Linked DNA regions of Yarrowia lipolytica. The protein of the gene in region 2 interacts with the protein of the main gene of each other region in a pairwise test. Links are inferred from orthologs where the notes say so. Each region holds a gene or a part of one and is shown on either strand. Other genes may lie near its edges.

What was found.
Region 1: the proteins of YALI1_B19962g (region 2) and YALI1_F04643g interact in binary tests that used the Saccharomyces cerevisiae proteins (3 or more experiments, as listed by UniProt). The link is inferred for Yarrowia lipolytica from reciprocal best matches to the Saccharomyces cerevisiae genes CCR4 and CAF40.
Region 3: the proteins of YALI1_B19962g (region 2) and YALI1_D21167g interact in binary tests that used the Saccharomyces cerevisiae proteins (3 or more experiments, as listed by UniProt). The link is inferred for Yarrowia lipolytica from reciprocal best matches to the Saccharomyces cerevisiae genes CCR4 and RPT6.

What each region holds. Positions count from the first base shown.
Region 1 is NC_090775.1:462,455-465,914, forward strand, and holds YALI1_F04643g (uncharacterized protein), read left to right. Parts: upstream 1-1,899; coding exon 1,900-2,856; downstream 2,857-3,460. Other genes in the region: YALI1_F04626g (uncharacterized protein), read right to left, coding at 1-190; YALI1_F04655g (uncharacterized protein), read right to left, coding at 2,924-3,130, 3,183-3,188. UniProt on the Saccharomyces cerevisiae protein: Acts as a component of the CCR4-NOT core complex, which in the nucleus seems to be a general transcription factor, and in the cytoplasm the major mRNA deadenylase involved in mRNA turnover.
Region 2 is NC_090771.1:1,994,640-1,998,987, reverse strand, and holds YALI1_B19962g (uncharacterized protein), read right to left. Parts: upstream 2,705-4,348; coding exon 587-2,704; downstream 1-586. UniProt on the Saccharomyces cerevisiae protein: Acts as a catalytic component of the CCR4-NOT core complex, which in the nucleus seems to be a general transcription factor, and in the cytoplasm the major mRNA deadenylase involved in mRNA turnover.
Region 3 is NC_090773.1:2,114,940-2,118,724, reverse strand, and holds YALI1_D21167g (uncharacterized protein), read left to right. Parts: upstream 1-2,023; coding exon 2,024-3,244; downstream 3,245-3,785. Other genes in the region: YALI1_D21173g (uncharacterized protein), read right to left, coding at 1,012-1,356. UniProt on the Saccharomyces cerevisiae protein: The 26S proteasome is involved in the ATP-dependent degradation of ubiquitinated proteins. The regulatory (or ATPase) complex confers ATP dependency and substrate specificity to the 26S complex.

The DNA.
Region 1 (3,460 bases), on a different chromosome or scaffold from region 2:
TCCAGCCCTCTCTGTCGGACCATAGACTGCCTCCTGGACTCGAGGGTTGTTTGTCTGTCTGATCGGTTGGCAGGAAATTTGACGACTCAGATGACAAGTTGTCGCCGCCGTACTCGCGCTTGTCGCCCGTGCGCTTTGAAACCACGTGACTCCAGGTGTTGTCCACCGAAAACGGCTGTAGAGAAGACATTTGTGGTAGCCGGTCCAGGTGTTCAAGTGGTTTACAGTAGCTACTCGGTAAGGTATTACTGTAGCGCGTTATAGTGTTTCGTGATAGAGTTCACGGGTCGGAAATGAGTCTGGTAGGGTACAATCAACAAGGACTTCTTGAGAAGATGACCCCGATAAGGAAAAGTTGATTTAAAGCTGTATGTTTCTTCTCCGGTTTCCATTTTCCACCATTTCATTCCATCCACTACTTGCCGATTTACAGACGTCCAAAAACATTTGCTTGGTACTCTGAACCTTGACAGGGGAGTCGCGTGGGTGTTATTACATGTTGATAAATGGTGAATTGGGGTCTGTAGATATGGAGGAACAACTTGTAGGCCTATATATTGGCGATTTTGGCTTCTATCTCATTGTAATTCGAGCCCTGCCAGATGTCTCCATAAGCCACCAACTCGACCCAAGAAAAATCTCACTGAAAAATACAGTTGTGACTTCCAGATGCGGAGGAAAACTTGATTGTTGATTTGCCGATGGTGTGGGGGGGCTACGGGGATTTTGAGTATATCATGGTGGTCCTGGAGATTTCCCTGTGTCTGTGGTTTTGTTGTCGTCTTTCTCCGCCTCCTCGTTCGACTCCACGACTCGTTGTATGTCCAGCCCATTCAAACTGATCAATTAAACCTCCGAGTGCGGTAAATGGTTGAGATGCATGTTATCAGATTTGCACGAGTCGCAGTAATAGGGGACTGAGTCCAAAGAAGACGTGGATTTGAGGGGAGAGGTTATGTTCTTATTTTTGCGTGTCTAGTCACGTGTAGGTGGCAAAAATACTGCACCTAGTAGACACTGACTCCGCCTTCACGTACAAGTAATTAATTTATTTTGTTTTTTATTTTATACTTTTATTTATTCATTTTTTCTTTTTTTTCTTTTTTTAAGCCCGCGGGAGTCTAAAGAAAAGTAGCAAGTATATACCTGCAGATAGCAACGGACTCATAGGGAAGATGGTGCACTGCTCGACCCTTGTTCGATATATCGTGGGGTAAATGTCGAGTTGGTTGCGGTTGTGTATATCAGGCAGTATCCTCCCTTGTCGTCTGAATTGCTTTTTGGGCTTATCACATGCAGGAGTCGAATTTCAGGACCTTTTTTTTTTTTTCCTTTTTTTTCTAATTTTTTTTTTCTCTTTTTTGAATAAGGTCGTATGCACCCTGGTGGCTACAACTATTGTTTAGAACGGCTAAGTAGGATGTCTATATACTCAGGATGGAGGATGACAGCGGCGGCTGTATTGACACAGGAATATACAAACAGGATCAATCGACCACAAATGACCAAGGAGAGCACAGGACCCCCTCCAAAAACACACAAGTACCGGAAATCCCGCACCTGTAGCATCCTTGACACTGGTTATGACATGTCTCTCAGTTAGTCAACTATACTCAACTAATGCGACCAAGTAATAGCGTGATGCTAGTAGGCTATGATGACTTCGAATAATGACGCGATAGGAAGCTGGTAAATTATCGTCCACATACCAATTGTTGAAATATATATCCCCGACTCAGCTCGATCACTGAAAACGCTATATTGACATATTCGGCCACCGTCCCCATCTGGAGTCGAACCCACGTCCACAAACCCTCCACCAACCTTCGACTCACCACTCACCACATCAAATCCATAACCCAGAAAACTGTCCAGATCACACCTCCACCACAGTCCGCCATGTACCAGCAACCTCCCCAGCAGCAATATATGGGTGGCCAGATGAACCAGCCGCCGCCCAATATGCCCCAGATGGCACCCAGCGGCATGGCACCGGCCAACTCCAACGACCCCAACGTCATGCCGTTGAAGCTGACGGCAGAAGACGACAAGCTATATTCGTGGATCGTCGAGCTGATGCACGGCGAGGGTCGCGAGCAGGCTCTACTCGAGCTCGGAAAGAAACGAGAGCAGTACGAGGATCTCGCCCTCATCCTATGGCACTCGTTTGGAGTCATGAGCACTCTGCTGCAGGAGATTATGAACGTGTACTCCCTGCTGACGCCTCCCAATCTGTCCACTGCCGCCAGCAACCGGGTATGCAATGCCCTGGCCCTTCTTCAATGCGTCGCCTCACACGCCGACACCCGAACCCCCTTCCTTGTGGCCCACATTCCGCTCTTTCTGTATCCCTTTCTCAACACCACCGTCAAGTCGCGGTCGTTTGAGTACCTGCGGCTGACATCGCTGGGCGTGATTGGCGCGCTCGTCAAGAACGACTCGCCCGAGGTCATTTCGTTCTTGCTGTCCACCGAAATCATTCCCCTGTGCCTTCGAATCATGGAGAGTGGCACCGAGCTGTCGAAAACAGTGGCGATTTTCATCGTCCAAAAAATCCTCATGGACGACATGGGCCTCAACTACGTGTGCCAGACGTTCGAGCGGTTCACCGCGGTGTCGCAGGTGCTCGCCAACATGGTCCAGCAGCTGATTTCACAACCGGCCTCCCGACTGTTGAAACACGTGGTCAGATGTTATCTCAGACTGAGTGACAACGCCAGAGCCAGAGAGGCACTAAGACAGAGTCTGCCCGAGCCGCTGAGAGATGCTACCTTCAGCCAGGCTCTGAGAGACGATGCCGCAACCAAGAGATGTCTCGCGCAGCTGTTGATCAACTTGAGTGATAGTTACGAGTGAACAACGAGCAGTGCAGCTGCGACTTGTGAGCGGAACTCACAGTCCTACCACGAACATCGTGCTGCGACTAGTGACCACGACTACAGGTGTCAAAGCTGACCCATAGAGCAGTTGAATACCACTCAGCAACCCGGTTCATGAACCGCGAGCTTACTGCATCATCGAAGACCAACAAATCGCATAATAGGTCACCTGGAACAGGTGGTGACCCTAAGGGGAGCTGGGAGTGGCCCGTACGTACGGTACAACGCCACAGCATGTAAAAATATATTATCTATCTACACTAGACAAGGCCCGTGAACCGTGGCATCTGATTGAAATCAGACAGACATATTTCCATGATAGACAGATATGTCCATCTAAATAACTCATCCTTGCGCTTTCAGCGAGAGAGCTACCATCTCTCTAAAAGGAGCTCCTACGTGACAGCTACGTTATCACCGGAACGTCAAGTCACTGAACACGAAGTAGTCGAACCAACACGTAGCTAGGGTTAGTCGTAGTCAAATAGAATGTATGACTAATGATGTTATAATGCTTTTCTTGCTTATATAAGTATGTAATTGTACAGAAAGAAGTAGCTACTTCTGAGTCAAAGGGATGT
Region 2 (4,348 bases):
ATTCAACTGCTCATCCCCGAATACTAATAGATCAATACCTTCAGTATCACACACACACACTACTTGTACATACATGCACACAACAATACAGCATCTCGTTGTTCACACATAAAGACCTGCCACCTCTCAGCTAAGGTTCGTTTAGAACCGTTGAAAGAACATGTCATAACAGACTACGATTCTTATACTTGTACTCGTTGTTGTACTCGTACTGTAAGCGCGGTCTTGGCTGCTGATAACAGGCATGAGCATTGCAGATAGCCCATACTTGTTTCCGATGCCAACACACTACCTGCTCCGTTCCCTGGCCCACATGTTGCTCGATTCTCGGCTCCTCCGGCTACAACAGCAACAGAGTATCGTGGTAACTACACTGCCTTTTATTCTACTCGTACATAATCATTACCTATATCCCTGTGGTTTCAGAACAGTTTGCTTGTACAAAACTGCTGAGTGAGCTTTGCTGTTGCTGTTGCTTCTAGCTGCTGCTACGATGGCATTGTATAGCTGCTGCTCTGTGTAACTCCAGTCATAGCTCTATGCGACTGATGTTGCTCTCCAGAGCTCCTCCACCACTACCTTGACCTTACGTCTTTCGCGAGCCGCTGTGGCTTCCAGAGTTACCGAAATCCAATGCCTTTTTCGGCTGGCCATCACCTCCCTTTTGCTTCTTGAAGGAGAATTCGGCCAGTAGAGAGATATGATCGGAGGGGTAATGCACCGAAGGGAATCCCACCATGTTGCTGGTATAGTCGGGATCAATGCCACCAAGCAGACCTCGCACAGACAGAGCGTTGGACGAATACCACACGTAGTCAATCACATCGACGAAGTTGGGTGTGTAGTTGGTGAATGCCAACTCACCAATGTTCGAGTATGCAGATTTGAGAGTGAAGCCGTGATTCATGCCCTCGTCTGTGAATTTGCCGTACGCTCTGCCAGACATGTCTTTGTGGTTGGTCACGGTGCCCTGCGAGAAGAGCGAGTACACACCTGAGTCGGTGGTGGAATTGAAGTCTCCACAGATGACCAGTGGCAGTTTCTTGCCAGACTCGTATTTGACGTTGTTACCGTCTTGGTTTCTTGCGCTGACTCGGTTGCTGTCCTTCGCAACCCGCTCAGCAAACTTCTCCACCTCATCCAGAAGCAGAGCCACCTGGATGAGCTTGACGTCGTTGAAGGCAGGGTCCCAATGTAAATGAGTGTTTGTGACGATGATCTTTTGGCCTGTGGTCACATGTTCTAGTAGCGCAATTAGCGCAATGTTGTCCTTGTTGAGAACTCGATTGTAGGTGTCGGCAGTCTTCTTGAAGTCGTTGTTCTTAAGTGCCAGAGACGAAAAGTCAAGAGACAGTTTTTCAATCAGACAGAACGACTTCGTCTTGTAGAAAATAGCACATCCGTCGACTCGCTTGGCATCCTTTTCCTTGGACATTGTTCGTGCTCGGGTCTTCGGATGGTACAGGCCAGCATAGCCTAGCTGGTGCAGCTTGGGTGACCAGAAATCCTCAAAGGAGGCTCCGTCGACTTCCTGGAAACACAGAATGTCGCTGTCGTATCCAATGACCTCCTTGAGAAGTGTCTCAGATCGGTGTTTCCATCCAAGAGCCCATAGCGGGGTGTAGCCGTGCATCTGGACTGTAGTGTACTTGTCACAAAGAGTGTTGTAGGACATGACAGTAAAGGTGTCGGACGAGGCAGATGCACCAGCTGCTGCTGCGTTGGCTCCTGCTGTGGCTGTGGCGACAGTAGAGCCAGACTCTCCCTCAGTTGCTGCTGCTGCTGTTGCAGCGCCACCTCGACCACCGGCCTCTTCCAGAACGATCCATTCTCGAGGCTTGGGGGCAGCGGGCATAGGAGCAGACTCTCTCAGCTCGGCAACCAGTTCCTTGGTTCCACCCTGCGCCAGTTTCTCCTTGATTGGCTGGTTGATTGGGTTACCCTCCAAACCAATCACCTCCAACTGGTACAACTGACCGACCTGATGGGGCAGAGTCGAGAGGTAGTTGTCGAACGCAAACAGGTATCTCAGGTTGTGGAGCATACCGATCTCCGGTGGGAGCTTGGTAAGCATGTTGGAGCTGACGTCTAGCACACGCAGTTGCCGCAGAGATCGGATTGCCGGAGGCAGCGTGGTCAGCTTGTTGTGATTAATGTACAATTTGAGCAGAAACTCGTAGCTGCGAAAAAGCGGCGGTGACAGACACATAAGACCCTGGCCCGACATGTCCAGATCAGCCCAGTACTGATGCTTCTCCTGCTGCATCAGCGTCATCTGTCGCTCCTCCTCCAGTTGATCCTTCTTTTGTTGATTTGTGTATCCTCTCTGGGGCGTGGATGCTGCGGTGGCCTGCTGTTGCTCTACCAGATCCTGCTGCACCGTTTGCACTGCCAGATCCACCAGAGTCAGTTGGCTGGGGCCTTGGTCCTTGTCTGCGTCCACCTGGGCTCCGTCTCTACCGTGTTGTTGACGCGAGTTGATGGCTGCCGCCCGGGCATAGCCGTGACTGGTGGGTCCCGTTTGTCGCGATAATTGAGCCAATTGCATCTGTTTCTGCCAGAATTTGGAGCCCATCAAACTGGCCTCGGGATAGGAGGGACTGTTGTTGCCTGCTCCAGTTGCGCCCACCCCGCCCGGGTTGCTGCCGCCGGGCTGGTGCAGCTGCTGCAACAACTGCTGCTGAAATGACGTGTTGTGGTTCATTTCGGCCGTGTCGGGGGATGATGTCCTTCGATTTGTGCTTGCTGATGATAGTCTTAGAGGTAGCCTTGTCGATGACTTCGTGATAAAATCAGCACACTGACCATGGTGGCAGTTTTGACGGCCTAAAGCTTAAATCTAGCCTTGTTGTGGGGGGGTGTGTGTTCGAATCTGCTAGGGGATGCACTAATAATAATAAATTTGAGTCACTGAAATCAAGCAGAAGGCGTGATAAGTGTGTCAGATGCATCGTTTACAGCCTATTCATTATTATCTGAGGCTCCTTCTATGCAGATATTAATATATACACATCTCATGATCCATGGAATGATGGCCCATACCGGACAGAAGGATCATGATATGACTGGATACCATCTCAAAACGGAATCGTTATCCAGTGCCCATAAGTGTGTGATCCTCCCCGCCCCGTATGTCTCTCCTCTCCATTGGGCGCCTCCTTGGTACACGTCTACTGTCATCCCAGCATCGACTGGCGTTCATGGTTTAGCATTTATAGTGGTGCGTTTCCTGATAAGCTGCGATCTAATGTGGTGTCAGTGTATTTGGAAGGGTACAAACATGTAGCGAGCGTTCTTTGTTGTCCCTTTTTTTTTTGGCCAGTGGTAGCTATCCGCTAGACCCTTTCGGTGATGCTATGTATTCACTTTTCAGCCATGGCTAAATTGGTATACCCTCATAGTACGACTACTTACCCCTTATTGACCTATCTAGCGATAGACCCGACATGAGCTCGAGGTACTGTAGCCATAGATATGTACAGTACTGTACGGTGACTTGCACAGTTCTCTTAGTGTGAGTACATATTGTAGACATCATCAAATTCCAGAGATGAGGTATCAGTATGCACTCTTACTTGAACCGGTGGCATTATTCGGTGTATTAAATGAATAATTAGGGATAACATACTTATACTGTGCAGTACACATACGGTACATGCACTCAATAATTGAACAACCTTTGGTATTACTTGTCCAAGTAGTTGGGTTTTCAGTAAGTACGACTGTAATTAGTTAAGCCAAGCATACCAAAGGAACACCGCGTATTCTACAGAGTTTGTAGTATCATGTTATTATAATAAAATAAAAAACACAAGACTGGTTGTCTCGTCATTATTCCAAGACAACAATGTTTTGACGTTCTATTTTTCACCTGGTGGAGTCTAGTCGGGCATTTCTGTCCATTTCTGATATCCCGACTTCTCTAAATTGAAACATATCACATACACACCCAGATCAACCACCTCAAGCGACAACTTACACGTACTGTATGTACAAGTACAGTAACATGGCAATTTAAGTCCGAATACGGAATACCCTAACCACAACATCGAAGTCGGTAGAATATTGAAACATGCATACCCGGCAATACCCGACATAATTCGATTGCTCCCTGACGAGATGTGAGTGAGTTGAAAACACCTCAAAGCAAAGAACAACTGCCGCAGAGCATCGAACGACAACAAACGTCGGCCTTCTACCGGTCCCTAAAGTAGTAGACAACCCCTTCCGTGTTTTCCCTATCACACGTCATCTCATTAATTTGAACTCTATGTCACAAGTACTAATTACTGTATATGGAGTTCCGTGCAATGACAAGAGAATGTGCAACCACCGGTAAGAAACCACG
Region 3 (3,785 bases), on a different chromosome or scaffold from region 2:
ACTGCGGAGTTGTTCGGGTACCTGGTAGGTGATAGGAACAAGTTGAGTCGGGATGTTGGAAATTAGAGTGGGAAATAAGCAGTCGTCTAATAGTGCATAACCACAGCAGGTCAAGACACCTTGTCTCATCCGACTCCTGGCCCAAAGAGGAAAAGTGTGGAGTGCCACCAACCGTTTGGTGAGTAGGTACTTGGAGGTTTTGCCTTGTTCATATGCCGCGGCTTTTGTTTGGATGGAATGTGTTCCTGGAAATGAGCAAATGGTGCCGATGCACAAGGGTGCGGCTTGCATTCCGGAATGTCCGACACTGCACTTTGTCTGATCGCAAGCCTGCTCCCGTGTCTACCTTGAAGGGGCGGGAAACAGACGGGACTTGTCTGCCGGGCCGACCTATCGTCTTGATTTACTTCTGGTGGTGGTCTCAGACGTCAGACAGGGATACGTGCGACTGAACGATACCATACGATTCCAATGCACTGTGGTTTCAGATGCCCCGCTTGATATGTACTTTCTGGAAGGTCTAGAATCGAAATAACCACATCTCAGCTGCATTTGTCTCTTGTCTCAGCGCATTACGATACGAACATGATCACTGATCACTTGATCAACATACTACCAGACGATCATCACTGTATACAGTAGCACACTCACATGTGCCCGTGTGTAGCCTGTCACATTTGCATAGTACATACCAGGTTGTCGTGCCGCCTCACAACGCGCCTGCTCTCGACAAACTAGTCTACAGAAGTGGTCTTTCAGACATGGCCTTTCAACTAGATCAGTGACTGCCGACATCCATTCCGTGCATTGCAATCTTGTCTAAAAACATGTACCTTTACCTTGGTGCGATAGGTGTACCTTGGTAGGCATCGCGACCCCAGTGCAGTACCAGAGGATATCCCTGTGGAGCTGTGGAGGGTCCTCCATTTTATTTTTGTTGCGGCTCTCTGGCCAGGTCTTTCGCAACCGATTTTCCGTCGCTCGCCTGCCATGTTAAAATGACAGCTTGCTCTAGCCCCTTCTGAATCTCGTCAGAACAGGCTTGAACAAGGCCCAGGCAAGAAGCCCAACAGTAACACCGGTAAAGGCGTACACAATGAGCTGGTCCTTGAACGACTCGCGCTCAAAGCACGCCGTGGTCACGTCCACCTCGCCCTTGGCCTCCTTGCAGATGGTCAACTTCTGGTCCAGGCAAAACTGTCGGGTGCAGTTGTTGCACGTCAGCAGCTGTTCTTTTTGTGGTCGCAGCTCGATGATCTCGTACTCGCCGAAACACTCGCATTTGCAAAACTCCGTGTATGCCAGCGCTGGCACCACGAGCAGAATCAATGTAAGAGTGAGCGATAGCAGTTTCATTGTGCAAAAATGTGGGAAAGGTGGGCAATGTGGGAAGTGTGGAAAATGTGGGAGAATGTGGTGTCCGGATCACAGCGTTGGTGCCGTAGAAAAAGCCTGGGAGCACAAATATCTGTTGCAGTCACGGCTGGTCGCACTTGTACGGAAATATGGAGAGGGAAGACATGCATGTTGGTCGATTAAGTCACATTTAGTTGGCTTACCTAAGCAGCCTCGGCGAAAACCTCCCCGCCCGCCCCCTTCCCCAAAAAAAATCGAGAGCGGTTCAATCGTCTTATGATTCATTGGAGCTGCTCTATGACCGTATACAATAACACTTGGCTTGTCTCTCCCAACCCCGGATCAACCAGCCGCCCACCATCACTATCGCCACCTGTACATTTTAGCCTTTTGCTATCATCGAGGTGCCAATTGGAGTGGCGCTAGGAGCTTGAGTAGTGATCGGATTGGGGATATTGCAGTCTTGATCGATACATCTGTGGCACATCAGTGTCAGTTTCGGCCGTCTACCCTCCATCACCTCTCCATCACGAGTTATCAGCGTCCAGTTGTTGACGCCACTGAACTTTAATTTCCGCTCACTACCTCCACTCCCACCCACACACATGACCATCACCACTCAACCTCACCTCACAAAACCACACATCATTCATCTACACACACCAAAATGACGACAGTTGCAAGCAACCAGGTGGGTCCCTCTTCCTCGTCAGGCATTGCGCCGTTCTTTGCGCAACAGATTGAGGACTTTGAGCTGAAAATCAACAAGAAGCTGCAAAACTTGCGACGGTTGGAAGCCCAGCGAAACGCCCTCAACACCAAGGTGCGTCTGCTCAAGGACGAGCTCCACGTGCTGCAGGAGTCGGGCTCGTACGTCGGCGAGGTGATCAAGATCATGGGCAAGCAGAAGGTGCTGGTCAAGGTCCACCCCGAGGGCAAGTACGTGGTCGATATTGCTCCCGACCTCGACATTAAGAAGATCACGCCCTCGTTGCGGGTCTGTCTGCGATCGGACTCGTACACTCTGCACCAGATTCTGCCCAACAAGGTCGATCCTCTGGTGTCGCTGATGATGGTGGAAAAGGTGCCTGACAGTACCTACGACATGGTGGGAGGTCTGGACCAGCAGATCAAGGAGATCAAGGAGGTGATCGAGCTGCCCGTCAAGCATCCCGAGCTGTTTGAAAGTCTGGGTATCGCGCAGCCCAAGGGAGTCATTCTTTACGGACCCCCCGGTACCGGAAAGACCCTTCTTGCACGAGCTGTGGCGCATCACACCGAGTGTAAGTTCATTCGAGTGTCTGGTTCCGAGCTGGTGCAAAAGTACATTGGAGAGGGTTCTCGAATGGTTCGAGAGCTCTTTATCATGGCCCGAGAGCATGCCCCAAGTATCATCTTCATGGACGAAATTGATTCCATTGGTTCTGCTCGAACCGAGTCTGGAGGAGGCGGCGGCGGTGGCGACTCTGAGGTTCAGCGAACCATGCTGGAGCTTCTCAACCAGCTGGACGGTTTCGAGTCGTCCAAGAACATCAAGATCATCATGGCCACTAACCGTCTTGACATTCTGGACCCTGCTCTTCTGCGTCCCGGTCGAATCGACCGAAAGATCGAGTTCCCCCCGCCCACCGTGGAGGCTCGAGCCGACATTCTGCGAATCCACTCACGACGAATGAACCTAACCCGAGGAATCGATCTCAAAAAGATTGCCGAGAAGATGAATGGCTGTTCGGGAGCCGAAGTCAAGGGAGTGTGCACAGAGGCCGGAATGTACGCTCTGAGAGAGCGACGAATCCACGTGACCCAGGAGGACTTTGAGCTGGCTGTGGCCAAGGTCATGAGCAGAAACGATGCTTCCGAGGTTTCTGTTGCCAAGCTGTTCAAGTAAGCACTGGTTTGTTGGTGGAAGGGGTTCGTTGGAGTCACTCTGTAAGCATACTTCTTGGAACATCATGGAGGATATATAGTAATGTCATGTTATGATTAGAAGAGCGTGCTTGTGAGATAGGGGGACGATGTGGAGCAGTACAAGAGTGTTCAAGTGATGGCACGGAGATGGAGGTTGTAACTCAAGGGCGAAAGTGTGTTCAGTGGTAACTACAAGTACGAATAACCTGCTTCCAGTGAAGATATCCTGGATAATGAATCTCATCATATCGTAGTCCCCAAACGACAGTGATACTACCCTATCAGAGCACATGTTCTGGCCGCTTTACAGCGCAGACAACCACTCAGACAACCACTATAACAGCCTGTTTCAGCCACAAGAGCTCGTCTCTGAGTCCAAGTAAACATTCGACAATCTGTGCATTGGTCACGCGCACCGCAAAAGTGTATATTTTAGATGAAACTTGCGCCAGTTATCTATCAATACCTTTGTAAATCAAGCTGTATAGTTGCAGCTCTTTTCTGATGTTTAATATTCGCTC